Linked DNA regions of Drosophila melanogaster. The protein of the gene in region 1 interacts with the protein of each later gene in a pairwise test. Each region holds a gene or a part of one and is shown in the gene's direction. Other genes may lie near its edges. The genes, in order: Acp62F and CG5866.

The links.
Region 2: the proteins of Acp62F (region 1) and CG5866 interact in a two-hybrid assay, tested with the Drosophila melanogaster proteins (one large-scale study listed by BioGRID).

Annotation. Positions count from the first base shown.
Region 1 is NT_037436.4:2,737,990-2,740,987, forward strand, and holds Acp62F (accessory gland protein 62F), read left to right. Parts: upstream 1-1,760; 5' UTR 1,761-1,783; coding exon 1,784-2,131; 3' UTR 2,132-2,239; downstream 2,240-2,998.
Region 2 is NT_033777.3:17,413,723-17,417,054, forward strand, and holds CG5866 (uncharacterized protein), read left to right. Parts: upstream 1-2,016; 5' UTR 2,017-2,023; coding exon 2,024-2,633; intron 2,634-2,690; coding exon 2,691-2,752; 3' UTR 2,753-2,783; downstream 2,784-3,332. Other genes in the region: CG42822 (uncharacterized protein), read left to right, coding at 210-384, 452-604, 667-677.

The DNA of each region.
Region 1 (2,998 bases):
ATCGGCGAAACCAAGGACATTCAATATGGGAACGAGGTGAGAAACGATTAGACAAGGCCTCGTTAGCTGGAGATTACAGTGAACACAGTTGAAATTCCACATTTGGAAATACCCTTCAAATCCTATACTCAGATATTTGAGTTTCAAAAGATCACTCTAGTATGAATATATCTTTTTTAAATAGCACTCAGTTATGAAGTGCAAATTGAATGTTACAATTCTTAAAATACTCCTGGTTTTCATTTGCGAAAGTGCACTGTAATTCTTACTAAACATAAATGACATCTCACTCTCGAATGGATTCCCATCGATTGGCCACAAAGGAAACTCACCTGCAAAGATACAAAAAGAAAAAATAATTAGCAATAAAGCCAGCGAGCATAGACGAATGTAATTTGTCTAAGCAGAATCAGAATTCAGAAGCCGAATGGGAGGAAGAACGATTTTCTTTTGGTTGCCACAAGAACAAGACTGTGAGCTTGTGTGTGGGTTGTCAACTGATTGCGCATACGCCGCGTTGGTCAACGCACTTTCCAAGGCTGCGAAAACGCGAAAGCAGCTGCAGCGCGCTAGTCGCTAATCATAATTTTTGATCTACAAACTAATTAGTGTTCGCACGAGTGTGATTGCAATTTATTGGACACCAATTGAGACGAAAGCGCGCATTTTCATTCATAAACATGGCAAAATACGGGGACCAGAGCGAAAAAAGGGAACTCAATTTATTAATTGCTAGCAAATGTTGGGCGTGTGTTGCAAGAGTTTTGCCTTTGCGATCGCAATTGCGATTGCATTAGCCATATTGCAATTATGTCGTCATGTCCGCGTCGCCGCCAAAGTTCAAAGTTGCAGAATCTTTAGAACATAAAAGTTTTTCGCACGTTCCGCACATGGTGGTGAAGAGCAAGGAGGGCCGGAGGGAGGAGGCAGTCACTGTGCGCCGAGAATTATTCATGGCGCATATTTCAGCGGTTTGGCAATAGCCCCCCACCTTCCACACCCCCTCCCAAGAGGCGAAATAAATAATTGCAAATATTATTGGCCACTCAGCGCATGCCAACAATAAGAACTGCAAAAATAGCCAGCGAAATTTGCAGTTCGCATAGTTTCGCAATAAGTCGGCGGCAATGATGACTCAAGAGTGCAAAACCAAATATTATAGCCATATAAAAAATATGTGGGAAATTATGCATCTTGGCATGGCACTTGGGCATCCCGATGCGATGAACTGAAATCTGACAGGTTGAGGAGGTACTCCTGGGTCTGGTTATTCTAGTCATGATGGGCTAGTCAATTGGCAGGATTCGCGTCTCTATTCAATTGGCCGAACCGTTTCAAAACTATTTCAAGGCTTTAGGCCAAAACGAATCAATTTGAAACACAATATTCGTTTTTGACAGTGATTAAGCGAAAATAATCGCTGGTGGGAAGTAAATCAAAGTGGCTACACTTATAGTACTTAATCGTTTAATTAGGCTGTAAAATGTTCTACAATCTACAATCTGCTGCCAAAAAGCATTTATTTTATACTAGGATCAACGAAAACTAAATATATTTCCCTCACTGACGCGCCTTTGTTTTAAGTAACATAATACACTATTTTTTTTTTTTTAAGATTTATTGTCTTTCCATTGATATCTGCAAGTCACACAAATGGTATAATGGTCTGAAACAAAATCGCGTAGCAAATCTAATTTCAATTTCTATACTAAAATATCAGACGGATGGAAATAAATAGGGCGCACACATCAGGGTAAAATGGTAGACGTATTCCCCATCTACAATGACGGACATGTGGAGCTTGAAGATCTGTGCCTGTCTGGGCCTTCTATTACTTTTCAAACCCATCGACTCCATGGGATGGCAAGGACCTAAAGTTGACTGTACGGCCAACGGAACTCAGACGGAGTGTCCTGTAGCATGTCCTGAAACCTGCGAGTACTCCGGCAATGGACCCTGCGTCAAGATGTGCGGAGCTCCTTGTGTGTGTAAGCCGGGATATGTTATCAATGAGAGGATTCCGGCCTGTGTTCTGCGATCCGATTGCCCAAAAGATGTTGTTCGAAAGGAAGATATGCTACTGGGTGTATCGAACTTTAAGTGCTTTAGCAGAAATTACAACTGTTCATAGAAATTTATTAGGAAGGCAGCTAAACTTTAAACTAAATTACAATAAAATGTAAATAAATGTGTAGTAAATTACAAGCTATAATTACAAGATAATTACAAATAGTAAAAGAAATCCGAAATGTTAGTTGCACTAATTACGTAACTGGAACGAAGTTGCATAGCAAATATAATTTGTATTGCTGTACTAGCAACCTATAAGAATACTTTCGAAATCTTCATTCCACCTGCTGCCCAGTTTTCCAGCCAAGTCCTGCCCACTTCTCATTTGCCCGAAATGCCACTGCAAATGTGGCGGTGCAACTGTTACCAGGCGGCTGGTTGTGTTTGTGACCGCCATGTGCCCACTGGCAGCCACAGAAGCGCACGTCACCCGCACATACAGTCATGACCATTACAATGGCTATTAAGAGAAAGAAAACGCATTTCTTGGCAAGCGGTCTCGTGTGCTACGGGTCATTTGGGCGGAACTATGTGACTGCAATTGGGGGACACAGAAAAATGGGGATTTCAGCACCAATCCATGCGAAACGCGGAACACATTCGATATGGTAATCACATCGGAAATTTCACTGTGAATTATTTAGAACTGTGTTATTCCTACATGCTTTTCGAGCTGAACAATAAATGCACAGAATGAATACTTTGTATTTGCTGGCCAGATTAGGCGCGGTGATGCATGGTGCTGCAATTGGGATTTAATTAAAAACTTAGTGGGCCAGCAACCAAACGGCGCACACTTTGATTTATGATTTAAGCCAAATAGTTTTAAAGCGCCGCCGACGTGGTATAATTCTCTTGTATTTTGCATGTTAAATTTCGCGTAATAACGAAAATGATATATAGAAATAATCATAATTTTCACACTTGA
Region 2 (3,332 bases), on another chromosome or scaffold:
CCACAAGCGTTTTTATGAAGTGTTATTTATGTATGATATTAACAAACAAAAAAAACCCCACACATCTGCCGGTTTCTGTTATTTGAATAAATTAAAACCGATAAAGATTTCTGAAGACGTGCCTCCAAGCTAACAAAAACATATGTATATATAAGTGGAGGTGGCAAACGATCTGTTCAGTTCATTCCAAAACTTCGAGGCCTTTAAACATGAATTTCTCTCTATATATTTGCCTTTTGCTGTGTGTGGCTTTGAGCCAAGTTAGGGGTAACTGTTCAGGCGAATGTCCGGATACGGAGGAAGTTGTTTGGGCTCTTGGAGGAGGTTGCAATGTTTTCCGGAATAAGTGTTATTTCGACAAGGAGAACTGCCATCGAAAGCCAGGTGAGCAGTTTCTTATTACAACTTAATAAGAATTAATCAAACGAATATTATGTTGATTATATAAAAGCCTTGACCATAACGACAAAGAGGGAGTGTCAGAAGCAATGCGCCGACATTTGTACAGCCATCTACCAGCCCACAACTGGAATCTACAAGGGCGAAGTCCTAAACTTTGGTAACGAATGTGAAAAACGGGCTCACACCTGTCGTACTGGCCAGAGTGAGTTAAACTACATGTTTAGATATTACAGTTGACTTATTTCCCTTTATTCAATTTTACAGCTTTTTTGTAAGCCACGCAGAATGTTTTAAGCGTGAACGAAAGTAAATGAACTTTTACACCTAAATCTATTAGTTGTTTTTATCTATTAGGGCTCTTTGGGGCCTCAAGCATGAAACCAAATATCGAAGTCGTGTTTGCGTAACAAACAGCCAACAAGTCACGTAGAAATCAAGCGAGTGCGCTGAATAATATAAAAGTGTTTTAGTCACACCCAGTTTAAAAGATATGGTAAAAAACTATTGTTTAATAATAATAATTTTTAAAATTCGCTTTAACATAATATTATAAATATGTAATCCGTATAAATTTCATTTTGTTTGTGTTATATAAAAATGTACATTTATATAATATATGGCTCAGTATAAATATTATTCATCCTATTAATGGAATAGCACATATTTCGTATCTTATTATATTATATTAAATATTATTTAAACTAATTAAAGATAGAAAAGCGTAACTCCATGCATGTCCAATATAATTCACTAAAATTATCCACTTCTGTTGACCACGTGACGTTTGCTTTGGGGTTTTAGAGTTACAATTACCTAACTTCAATTAACTAATATAATTACAACAGAATAATACAGTAGCTTAATTACTTACATATTATTTGTGAAGTCCGCGAGATAGATTTAGTAGCACTTTGTAAACAAATAAATCTAAATAGATATATATCTTCTTCAGTGATCCCTTTCTTAACAGGAACTTAACATTTTATTTTAATATGAAACGTGAATAAAAAGCTGAAGAAATATGGTCACAATTCCAGTTTATGAGATTATTTATATTTTGGGTCACACATTTTAAAATAAGTTTTAGGTACATAACAGTTAAAACACTTGTATACCTAACATTAGTCGTTTCCAAGTAATCACACCTGTTAAATACACACATTGTAAAATAGTTTACTTTTAATATTCCGTGACTCTAAACTACACGTCCAGTCACACAGTCTTTACTAGAATCAGTTGAGAATTATAGGGCAAAATCAAAATAAAAATATTAAAAGACCATTATATTTAAGACCATTTGTAAAGATGTAAGCATGCGAATGGGTTCAGTCAACTCGGGTTGACCTGAGGGTTTAGAATTCAGAGCTCTAGGTAAAGAAACTCCCGAGTTGAACGTTCCTAGCCTGCATATACCACAAGGTTGTGATTTATGCCCTGCTTGAGAGTATTTATATTATTTAATTAGCTGCCCACTAGTGATGCTATTGCGGTGCTTATCTTTTAATTAATTTCTAATTAAAATGGGTTTCTTATTAAGTTTAAATTATTGGACTCGGTTTCTATTGTGCTCTGGGTATAAAACCGAAAAGGTTCCTGTGAATCAGCATCAGTTGAAGAAAATATGGCTCTGCGTTTCGTTTTCTTGCTGAGTGCTTGGATGGTCCTTGCCCAAGGATCCTTTCTGCGCAGATCGGATATTATTATCTTAGAAGCGAAGGTTCCCCAGAAAGGATATCTGCCTGTCGAAGATGCTTCAGTGCATCAAATCGTTCCTAACGAGTCATTGTCTGCAGGAAAAGAACATCAACATCAACGAGTACATCTGTATCAATTTCAATCGCATCCTCACGAGCACGGACCCCATTATCACCTAGAAGGGCACCATCACCTATCTGAGCCCCACCATCATCATCAGTTGTCTGAATCGCATGATCCTATCCACGGATCCCCTCAGCACCACTATCATGGTTCACATCCTAACCAACAACTCGAGGCACCATTTCAAGAAGTTCATGGATCCCACCATCAGCATCCAATCCACCACAACCATCTGGAGGCACCATATCACGGAACTCATGGTGTTCATCATCATCGCAACTGCCACGCCACCATCCATTGCCCCAGGGTTCATAGTCCAGCTTATGCCACCGATGGTCATCTCTGCTACAGGGTGGAGAACTCCTGCGCACTGGCCGTTTTGAACTGCCTGCGTCGCAATGAACTTAAGCCAGGTTGGTTATAAACATATCTAAAACATTTTCACAAATGATATTATTGTTTAATTGCAGTTTTGAGACACATCGGTCATCACGAATGCCATCGTCTGCCCAGCGCTTACAGGGCCCACTAATTCTAAGCTCAAGATAACTAAATATAAATATAAATATTTATATAAATATAGATATAAATATCTAATATAATATCCTAAGTTGTATTGTTTTCTTTTTCTGAAATATAATATTGTCAAATGAAATAATTTTGTTGTTGTCGGTGTTGTGTGTACTATTTACATAAATCTGGTTGTCCTATGTATGATAATCTTATGCATAAACCTATATTCGGAAGCCTAGATCTTTTAAATCTTTAAAGATAGAAGGTATTTAAAGATATGGTATCATTTACCATATATATAAAACAAAAAAGGCTAGCCTCCCCTCAGGTCCTCCTCATATTAATATCAGGGCCATTTTATGCCAATCGAAACAACTGTAACTTATTAAATAGATAACAAATTAAAATGCATTACAAAACAATCAATATTAAATGCCTTAGTAGATTTTCTCGACTATTAGATACCCATTACTCGTTGCCATTTAAGAATAAACGCCTTAGTCGATTTTCTCGACTATTAGATACCCATCAGTCGTTGAAGTCTGGCTTCAGATATAGATCCTATTCTGCATACATAATGGACGGACGGACGGAAATGT